Linked DNA regions of Drosophila melanogaster. The protein of the gene in region 2 interacts with the protein of the main gene of each other region in a pairwise test. Each region holds a gene or a part of one and is shown on either strand. Other genes may lie near its edges. The genes, in order: CG14323 and CBP.

Region 1 (3,700 bases), on a different chromosome or scaffold from region 2:
CCTTGGGCATGGGCAAGCTCTATTATTATTTTCGCAAGTTATATAAAAATAATAACAGGAGCGGACACGGAGCTGACCAGGCCAATGGATGGCCATCCATTATGCTGCCGGGCATTTATTTGCCAAACAATTGAATCTCTCCCCAGCTCCTTGGGCAGCTTGCAACCACTTCATCAGCCATCCTCGTTTGCAGCTATCTTATGGTTTATGATGGAATCAAAACAAATGCCGGAGCTACGATAGCTCGGCTTTGCTCGTCCGGAACCTCGAGCTCATCCTTCAGCTGGTGAGGATGATGATGATGAGTTTGTTTATGCAGATTGCTTGTGGAGTTTTTCCTTTGGCGTTAATGGATAAATGGACGTGTGAGTGTGTGCGTGGGTAACCCTTTTTGAGGATTTTTCCGGGGAGCTGCGCCACTTTCGAAATCTAGTTGGTAATGTAAACAAAATGATTTTAATTGCACAGATGAACGGTTTTCATTTAAATTTATTGATACCAAGCAATGGAAACACTTAATTTTACGGTCTTTATTAAATTGCGAAATTATTTAAGTACACTTTTTTAATAGCTTAAAAACATTGGTCAGCACTAAAATAATAATCCAATAATTTTGTAGGATATTGGAGTTTTCTTGTCTTAGTTTAAGCAATAGATTGCGGTTTTTAGTGTGCAAAACATTTTCCGGTTTCGAAAACTTAATTTTATCTCTTTTCACTTAACTTTTTTTGACGCACACATTTCAATTAAAATTGTATTGTTTTCTTTTACTTTGCTCTGCTCTGTTTACTTGGGCGAGCGCTTCCTCCGGCTACTTGTTTTCCCATTCATCCCAGGGTATTGGAAGGGTATTGGAAACGGTCCTGGCCGTTGTCCAGGTCCTGCTCCTGGTCCAGAATACCCACCTGCGCTGGCCTGTACCGTTCCAACGGATGTGGGCGGTGGCATACCAGGTGGTGGTGGAGGGAAAGGCGGAGCTGGTCGTATCGGCGAAGCTCCGCTCAGATACCCATAGCCCATGGGACTTCCAGACGTCGCGGAATTTTGATCACTTTGATAGATATACACATTGCTGTTCCCCTGAGCCTGCTGCTGATTCAGAGGCATGGTGTAAAATCCTGCAGGTGTAGCGTAGTAACCTGGTTGAGGACCAATAGCCGCCAGGCTGCAGCCATATACAGGACAATTGTAATAACCAGATATGGGATAGGCGGGGCCGGCGAATATGGGATCCGGATTGTGAGAGGCCATCCAGCGGTTACGCCAACGACGAAACAAAGTACCCAGAAAGAAAAACGATCGTCCATCGATTGGTTCTGGTCCTGTATGATCTGGTTCCTCATCCACATCCAAGTCGGTTTTCTGAGATCCATTGCTGTTGACCAGGATCAGCAAAAATAAAATCTGGAGCACTGCCATTTTCCCAACTGCATCTGCTGAAATCTGTAGGCGGACTACTTTGCGTCCGATCTCAACTCCAACTCAGTGAGTCCCACGAAGACAGGCTGCCTAATGGGCCTTGTAATGAACATTCAAGTGCTGTAACTTTGGCAAAGCAAACAAAGCGTGAAATTTTATTAATACAAAAACATTCAAGGCTGCCCCAGTTACCGACCGAAATCTGTACAAGTATTAAAATGCATATCCGAAAATGTATATCTTAAGTTAAGTTAAGTATTTGAATAAAAATTATATAAAACGATTTCCTTTTTTAGGCATTCATTTTATTTATTTTCATTTCATTTATATGAAAACCCAAAATTAAATTAAAACTAAAGCAAAGATTGCCAAATTTATCTAATTAAAACGCTAAACCACTATTTCTTTATACATACAGTCCAAAATAGTTAGCGGCGCTCACATCGGGGATGTAGCTCAGATGGTAGAGCGCTCGCTTAGCATGTGAGAGGTACGGGGATCGATGCCCCGCATCTCCAGAAGGTTTATTTTTATTTTATATTTCCGGAATTTACATATTGGTTTAAAAAAATTTAAAAATAGGTATAAAAAAAAGTTGCAGTGATTTCCCAAGTATGCATCCCTAAAAATGTTCTCCTTTCCCACGTAAATACTCGCGAGCCGCACGTACGAGCAATCTTTCATTATTAAATGTACAGAAAAACTCGAAGTTTTTGACTTTTGCTGCTTGATTTTATTTTGCCGCATTACATACTTTTGTGAGGGCAACAAAAACCGTTTTGAGTTATGAGTTCTGCGTGCCAGGTGTACTAACATTTTAAGCAGTTGAAGATAATGCGACGCCTAAACACCCTGTAAGGCTGTGCTGCTCAAGAACTCTATACTCATTGAATCAGGAAAAACACCAACTTCTGAGCCATGCCCGCATACCCAACTTTTAGCGGGAGGCCTGCGAATAAAGTGTGCAAAAAACAGGTGACAACAATCAGTACGAGGTAAAAAAGGAGGTGGCGCACGTCCGTGTCTGGAAAAACAAAAACAAGAACCACCAAGGGCTGTGAAAATTCACGCGCCCGTGAAAATTTCGCACGTTTTTACGGACCATGAACTTCATACACCCCGACCAGATATTCTTTCAAAATATGAGTTATGGCTGCATAGATTAGCTGGCAACTATTTGATTTCTCCAACACGAAATTCATTTAATTAAAAAAATACGCAAAGTCAACAGAAAAACTAACTAAACTTTCCACAAACTTTGTTGCCATCAAAACAATAAAAACCACAATCCTCGGCCGGGCTTTGCCTTTGTTATCGAAGCTCGAAACGGACAATGGAGTGTCCTTTTTTACGACAATGCCAAATCCGGCGGAACCACATAAATTATGTTAATGCCTCAGCTATGTACACGCCCACTGTGTGCGACTTTGGCCGAACTGACCGTCCAGGATAATCAGAAAAATACACAGCACACATCGTCCTGGACGAGGGACATTTGCTTAGTGGTTTTGTGAGATAGTTTCTGGGCTGTCCTGTACATTGAGAAAATTGCTGACAATTGCTAAAAATCTCGGGTGACGATGAGGCTTGGATCAGCTTTTTTTTGGGGTGGGCGTTAGAGCATTGCGAATGATATATGTATGCTTGAACACATGTTGTTGGGGCCCAGAAACTGAGCTTATATCGTCTGGGCAAATATTAGGGGGATATTTTAGTGGAGATGGCCAAACTTTGAGATCATCAAAAGGGAATCGTTCAACTAACTTTTGTATCCGATAAGTGAAGTCCCGCAGCAGACGACCAGATATTAATTCTCGGGGGGAAATTAGAAGAGGACATTGCTGTATCCGATTTACAAGCAAAAAGGACTCTGCAAATTAAATTTATAAATATAATATACCATTGTTCGGCTTGTCAGAAGTTTGTTTTTCCCTCCATTGTTACATAATTATATGGCCCGGAGTTATCGGTGGGCTTGAGTGCGTTTGTGTATAAAAAAGCAAGATAAGCCAGAACCGAGTGCATGTAAATAAATTGAAACAAATAAGCTGACTGTCGGCTAATTGCAGGGAGACCCCTTTATCCAGAAAAGCGAATGAAATTGAAAAGCCGTTCGTTCCATTTGCAAGGCAAATATACGAGGCCCCGGATCTCCGGTCGTTTTTTTTCCACCTTGCGGTGGACAACATCGCAACATGCTGTCGAACATTTCCGCCGGACGGTTTCCGTTATGCAACGCCACTGCAAGGACAACAACAGGTGGATGTCGAGAAGGATGTGC
Region 2 (7,985 bases):
TACTGTGGCTAATATTATGAATAGGTATTATCGAGATATCAAATACGCATCTATCACAATAATAAAATAATAGAAGTAATATTTAACTTTAAAGGAACACAGACAAAAGCAGAACGTTCTAGCAGATAGTATGTATGTATGTATATGTATGTATAGATATGTTCCATTATCTTTATAAACGGATTATGTTCAATTTATCTCGAGTTCACCGCCGCATAATCCGCTTTGGAAACTTCCCGGCTGCTCACATGTTTTGGTTTTCCGTCTGTATTTTCAAGTTTTTGCCTCCGCAGAGTGCAGTGCACTCCGCTTGCCGCATTCGAAACGGTAAAGTGGGGGGCCTTCGATTTTTTTTATTTTGTACGTAAAGTGTTGCACTTCTTGCGGGGAACCAGTGCTTGCAAAACTATGGGGGATTTATGAAAGCATTGATCTTGATGGGCAGTAAAAACTATTAAAATGAACCAAGATTAAAGGGAATTAGTGGAGCTGATAATTCCCTTTAATTTTTGCCGGCCACTGATATATCCATTCCGAATCACTACCCCCTTATTAATTTTTTCGATGGTTTCTTTTTTGTTTTCGTTTCGATGCAATGTTTTTTGGGTCCAAGTCCACTGGCGCTTATTTGATCAAGACTATTATACAATCTTACACGTATGTACAGCTGTGTATGTATGGGTGTCCACAGTGAAGGTACTAGAAATAGTGCTCCGTTGCGAAGAATGATCAGCATAGTGCATTATGCTTTTGGACAATTTGGGTTATAAAAAATAGTTTAAGATACCTTTAATGGTGGTAAAATGCCAAGTGCTTGAAATTAATTGGTATGTAACTGAAAACGATCTTTTAATGTTATTAGTTTTAAAGTGTTGTAATGATCCTATAATATTTACCGCACACGTGTGGGTGTAAGCATGCGTTTTGCTGTGGAGCAATGAAGTAGAACAGCAACGGAAAAACAGAAACTATTAGTGCGTAGGTATTTGTGTTACTTCATTTGTATGTGTGTGCGTAGAGGGCACTTTTCGGGGAAGTGCGTAGCGAGGGGGGAAGGGTGTCTTGGGGCATATTGTATTGGACCGACAGTTTGTCACACGCAGCGACCTAAATACGCACATTTTATGATATTTTCATTTTGAGTTTTGGCTTTTGTTTTTGGATTCCTTCGTTTACGTTATCAATTGGAAAACTGTAGTCCGTGTATGTATATGTGTGTGTAATCCCATGTTTATGTAATGCATTTTCTTTGGGCTTTATTTTGAAAACGAATACAGTTCTCCATTTAAGCGAGGTTTGACAATCACTGGGTTTTGTGTTTGTTTTTGCTTCTTCTTGTGCTCCTGCTTCCTCTCCATTTTCTTCTTCAACCGGCTTACATGGTCTTGCCTTTGTGTTTGTACTTACATATATACAGCCAAGGGCGCAAAAATATGAACTAAAAAACTTAAATACTAATTCCTCCGCATCTCTTAAAGCTGGTTTTAACATTTGGGAACGCTCATATTCAAAAATATTCTTGCGACACATATGCATGTGTATATTAATGCAGCTCAAAGTTTGATTTCGTGAACATTTGAAAATGTAACTACTAATATTTTGGCTTCAATAGTGTGTACTGCCTGCTTGTGGTAACCATTCCAAGTAGCAGCTGTTCTCCCTGCTCCCTTCTTATGCTGTCCTCTCCCTCTTCATCACACAAAACCACACACACACACGCGCACTCCCGCTCACACACACTCAGAAAGACCGCTCTGCTTTTACAGGCGTCGACGTCGACTTCTTTTCTTTGCGCAGCGATGGTTTTCAAAACGAATTCGAACGCTTAAGCGAACGGTTGTGTTTACTCCCAAGCAAAGATATCCAAAAAAAAAAAAAACTGAAACCACAGAGAAATCAAAATAGAAATTAGCGGACTCAAAAACAAAGTGTAACAAAACAAAGCAGAAAAATAAAGGCAAACATTTTTTTGTGGTGCATCTTCGAAAAAACCGGTTGTTAAATGCGCGTTGCAATCGAAATAATAACAAGAGTTCAACAACAAAATCCCTAAAAAAAAGCAACGTTGCACATTTTCTCGAGTGCAGTTCAAACTGTAAGGAAAACGTAGCGAAAATTGAGGAAAAATTTAAGAAAACCGAGGTTAAAACTTGAGCGAAAAACAAAATGGCATTCTCCATCGTGAGCCGTGGTATTTTGCGCACTTCAAGAGAAATTCTGGAACGCAACATGGCCGCAACTGTCGGCGTTCTGCAGCAGAATGCCTCCCCGCCCCCAAACACGCCCATTTCGCACAGCGATTGTCACGTAAGTGCATCTTTTCTTTCAGTGCATTGTAGTTAAGGTTACTAATTGAATTGACAGAAACAAGCAGTTAGAAAAACTTAGCATCACAAAGCGGACAGGAAAGAGCAGTTCCTAAAACAAACTTAAAAGCAACAGTTATAAAATAAAGAGTTTAAAACCAGTTCCACAAAAGATGTTCCAACCAAAAAGCAGTTCCGCATGATATAAACTCAAAACAAAGCAGAAAAATAGAATCGCAATTCGAAAAACAGTAAGTGGTGGAAGGAGAACTGTAAATAGTGAGGAAGAGGGGTGAATACAGACAAGCAAGGGAAGTGGAGAATGAAAATTGGGAGCGGGAATGTTCACGAAACGAGGCCAGTGCTAAGTAAACTGTAGCAGTGCATTCGAAACTGTAAGAACTCGAGTTCAATTCTTGATTAATATTAATAGATATTCCCAACTATAATTCTAGCAATACAAGAGAGTTTGGGATTATTAATTCTCTAATTTTTATTAACTTTTCATTCCCGCATTATTAATTTATTGTTGTTAGCAGCAGCATTATATATTGCTGATTTTTGGTTTCAATTGATGATTAACTATAAAATACGTTTAGGTGCTGGCAAATTTCTTGCACATCAATCATTAAAGGGCGCAGCACTTCAATCAATCAATAAGAAATTGAAAACCCGGCGCCGAAAGAGGCATATCCCTCAATGAAACAAATAAAACAAGATACAGTAAGATAAACAAGTGGAAATTACACACAAAGAAATGTTGGTATTGAATCAATAGATTCAACAAAATAGTTCAGTTAATATATAAACATGTTTCATCTTACTCCTATGTTGTTAGCTTTAAAAATACCGTCCAATAGTATTTGCATAAAAGTTTCGGTTTTGAAACGAAATTTATGATATTATGTTGACACAACATACATTAATTTAACCAGCTAAGCCAATATTAATACTTACTGGTATTTTTCACCGTGTATTCAGGTGAAAGCTTGTTTTCCCTTCTCACCGACAACAACCCCCTCATTTTGAAAGTCGGAAAACTGCGCAAATTCTGTAGCAGGAAAATCTTGCGCAAAAGCATTGGAAATTATAACAACAAAAGTACCCCACCTCCCTTTACTTTTTCTCTAACCGCCACGGAAAAAGAAGTTTTAGAATCACAGGAAATGATTAAAGTGATTTTATTCGCAATTTTTCTACTTCTTGTTTGCTGCTAAATTAACATTGACCTGTTGCTCGACTTTGATTTTTATTTGCCGTCTTCTTACTCTCTGCATCTTCCACATATAAATCATTGGCATTGTTTTTTGTTTAATTTTCTTATGGTCGAAACGTGTTTCTCTTTATTTTCGAGACGCGCAGACATTCAAATGAAAGGAGGCCCGTTTTTTGCATTCATTAATTCGTATTTTGGAGAAACTTGTTTACGAAAAAAAAAACACCGAAAAACAGAAACAATCCAAAGTTCGTTTAACCAAACGAAGCAACTGGAACCGAAAAAAGGTCCCAAAGCAGTCAGTCCAATACAATAAGTGTGCGGGCTTTATGATAATGTTATATGGTATGATGCATGATATCATCGTCGTCGGTGGCTGGCAACATCTGTACTTGGATTCTTTCTTATCGAGAGCCATTGAAATTCAAAACGTTTACAAGAGAATTCGGTTTCTTGTAATTAAAAGAGTAGCGAATTTTGTTTTTTATCTTTTCCTAATGGCACAGGTGATGGAAAAAACCTTTCTCCGAACTGGTTATTGGCATCAATATTTATCTTTTTTAATTTTCAAAGTTGCAATGTTGGCAGCAAAGGACATTGAATGTATTATATATGTGTAAAATACCGTGTCCTATATTTACATATATTTTATATATATTGGAAGCTATTTTCCTGCTGGTTTACAATTTCTTCTTTTAAATTCGTTACATACATGATCGCCACGTGGTTTTTTACCATTACCAAGCGCCTCTCAAACTGTAGACCGAGTTTTTTGAGATACATTTTGACAGTCACTCTTTGGCACTTTTAAGGCGAACCAAAGATGGAAAACTCGTAAAAAAAAACAGATAACGACGAATCAGGTTTAGAATTGTTTTGTGAGTAAACAGAACTGACCTTAACAATGAGAAAATAACACGCACAACAAAAACAACACAGGAAAACAGCAGTGCGCTGAGTTGTAATTAAAAACATAATGATTGCTTACACACCGAAGGGCGTCTAGCAACCATATCAACAACAAAAAGAGCATTCAGCATGGGGCTGTGAAAACCGAAATATACACAAAAACAATACAAAACAATAGCATAATGATTGCGTAACATTATTAATGACACGTTAGCATCTCTTTTTTTAAAGCACAATCAAAATGATTATTATGATAGAGAAACTTATCCAATACATTTTGCATTTTCACATTTTTCTAATTTCCTTTTTTTTTCTGATTTCAGCGCCTGGCATCTGGCGGCATTATCTGTGGACATGGAGCACATTCACTGCTTTGGCATCAAATGCCAACTGCCGTGGTCCAGGCTGTCCGTCAATATTCAAAGAAGGCCGGAGCGGCCAAATTGCGACGGGAGGTGGAAAGTGATAGCGATTCCGACTCGGATGATGAGTTCGAGCGTCGTCGCCAGAAAATGGATTCCAAGCGCAGCGAACGGGTGAGTGAACTGCTTGAGAAATGCATAATCCATTAAATAGATCCATAAAACACACGGTCCACGTGGCTGAGAAATTTCAATTGTGTTTGCTCGACAGGCCGAGAAACGTGTTTCGAAATTTGTTTATCGTGCTCAATGTCGTTTTTTGAACCTGCTCTACGGCATTTAAAAAATAGTCCAACATTGTAACCTGGTTAACAGTGGCCATTTAACAGTAGTAACTGGTTTGAGTGCAGACTGTTTTAAGATCAAAGCTTTGTTGTTTGGTTATTAATACGAAATCTTAGCTTTCTCAAAAAAAGCGAATTGAAGCTTAAAGCAGTTGCTTGTATCCTGACTATACTTGCCATCAAGCAGTTCCTTAAAGTCCTTTCAAAGCCTTTTGGTTAAAGCTTCTAAAAGCTCACAAGCAGTCGCTGCGCGTCTATGAGATAAGCTGATGTTAATAAAAGCATTTTAATAAGGACAGTCAAGTCCTGCAAAGCTTTCAAGCTTTTACTTTTCAAGTCCTTTTAAAGTTTGAAAAGAGCAAAAGGCTTGGTTGCAGAATTGCAATGAGCTTTAGAGTTTAAGAAGCTTTTAGCACGCCCTGTGAATGTTTTAAATCAAATATAATTAAAATTTAAAATAAAATCGCAAGGCAAACCAATTAATATGTATATTTTTCCTCATTTTTAGGGCGACTCAGCATTCTGGCGCCGCAAAATGCGTACTCTCCACCGCATTTTGGACGTTAATCACGACGGCGTCGTGTCCTTCGACGACTTTAGTTTGCTGGCCAAACGCTTTAGCGATCTGGGCCATTTGACCCCAGAGGTCGCTGCCGAATTCAACGATGTGATCAAGCATACTTGGGAAGAGCAGTTCGGGGAGATAACCCCATACAATCTGGTAACTGCCGAGCAGTTCCTCACCGATCTGCACCATCGTCTCAACGACAAGAAGATGGCCAAACGCATCGGTCGCTTCCTGCCCTACTTGTTTAAGGTTAGTTTCATTGTTAAGTTGCTATTATCGATAAACAGAAAAATAATTTTTCCGGTTTTTTTTTTCTTAGGCTGTGGACTTTGATCACACTGGCCATTTGGATCTCGAACAATACAAGCTCTTCTTCCGTTGTCTGGGACTGACCGAAGACGATGCTGCCGTTTCATTCGCTGTGATAGACAAGAACGGCGATGGCCAATTGTCGCTCAAGGAGTTTGTGCATTTGGGCCGTCAGTTCTTTTTAACCGAGGACGACTCGAAGATATCGAAAATGTTCTGGGGACCGCTGGTCGCTGATCATTGACGGGTTGCAGTCACTGCTGTAGATTACAATACAACCAAATCAACAATAACCCAACAAAAAAATCCTTACTACAATCAAGATTATCAGAACCATCAACACAACAACGTCCGATGCCATAACATCGGCAACAATAACACCAATGAGCCAATGCTACATTATACATTGAATACGACAACGATGTTGGCCAATAACAATTACAATAAGATAGTGGCCACTTCGTTGCCAACTCGCGTGCAGGCGGCAGGCGGCAGTTGGCTAAATCTACAGCATGTGGCGCCTCATAAATCGGGACCGTTAATAAACATTAGCAACACCACCACGATCGTTATAAGGAACATGAGCATTTACGATTATTTTCGGCAACACTTGTCCAGTTCGAAGCGCCAGCGCTCGACCTTTGAGCCCCATCCATCGCCCACTACGTATCCCGCCTCCAAGTTGCGCAAGCACAACTTTAGTAATTATCAAAAGGAACGGGAACGGGAAAGGGAAGACCGACAGAAAGATAATAATAATAATAATCATCGAACCAAGGGCAAACCATCATTAGATGACTACGATATAAGATTTTTTGTCTACCTTAACTCGCTAATAATATTCACAATGTCGTGCAGTCGTCAATCGGCCGCCGAGGGCGATGACCTCAAGCATTTCATTTGCGACCGGATCCGGAAATTCGATCGCCTACGACGAAAGGCAAGAAAACGCCGCAAGAGAAGGCCCAAAAAGCTGGTCGAGGATCAAATGCACCATTTATAAACTCTGAAAAGTGGAGCTACATACTATTCACGGTCACCCTATTTACCATATAATCGATTATTTTTTTTTTGTCTAGTTAAGAGTTATGTTTAACTGATATATTACACAATACAGCAAGCATGATATAACGGAATAAAAATGATTTTTAAATATACTATAAATAATACGAGCATATATTTTCAATTATTGGGTGATCAAGCGATCAAAAATGGTTTTCCTAAATCTTTGCGACTCTGTCCACTTATAGATTTTAGTTTATTATGTTTAAACTATTTCCCTAATTGCATATAGTGATTTGCTTATGATTATCCTGCTGCAGGTTTATATTTAATTCATATTCTCAATATTCAATGGAGAAAGGCAAACAGCAGACGCTACTTCCTTCTCATTTTATTTTTAAATGCATTTTTTTTAAATGTTCCCTCCCTTGGCATCTGCGGCCACATATCATTATGTAAGCGCCAGCGAAAAGGATTTGCGATATCAACTGAAAAGTGTTTAGCTGGATGTTGCGAGTCTACAAAAAATGTTACCTAAAATAGAAGACGGGTTGAGCTACTTTTCCAATACTCTACTCTACATTTTTAAAAGACTATACACTTTAATGAAATGCTAGGAATAAATATATATCTCCATCATATAAGTGGTGTGTCATATTTTGTTGTAACATATAGTATCAAAATCTAAGACATACCCTTTATTTTGATACAAAATGGCATACACCCAAAATTCTATAGATAGGGCATGAAAAAGAATTACGTTGTGGAAAAGGGCAAGAAAAACTTGTCGCGCGTAAATCTCTGCGATGGCAACCTCCCACAGCCGTCTAGGCTGGCTGACCAGAGCTCATTATGCGCATTTGTGCTGGACGGGATAGAATGGGGGTTCCAGAGGGCTTCCCCCGACATAAGGATGGTACGCCCGTTTCTTTCCTTTACTTCTAGTCCTTCGCACTAATTTTTTTTCCA

The links.
Region 1: the proteins of CBP (region 2) and CG14323 interact in a two-hybrid assay, tested with the Drosophila melanogaster proteins (one large-scale study listed by BioGRID).

Annotation. Positions count from the first base shown.
Region 1 is NT_033777.3:17,620,682-17,624,381, forward strand, and holds CG14323 (uncharacterized protein), read right to left. Parts: upstream 1,432-3,700; 5' UTR 1,420-1,431; coding exon 787-1,419; 3' UTR 518-786; downstream 1-517.
Region 2 is NC_004354.4:7,335,550-7,343,534, forward strand, and holds CBP (sarcoplasmic calcium-binding protein), read left to right. Parts: upstream 1-1,802; 5' UTR 1,803-2,166; coding exon 2,167-2,307; exon of another isoform or gene 2,308-2,701; intron 2,702-4,754; coding exon 4,755-4,967; intron 4,968-5,645; coding exon 5,646-5,954; intron 5,955-6,024; coding exon 6,025-6,258; coding exon of another isoform or gene 6,259-7,017; 3' UTR 7,018-7,182; downstream 7,183-7,985.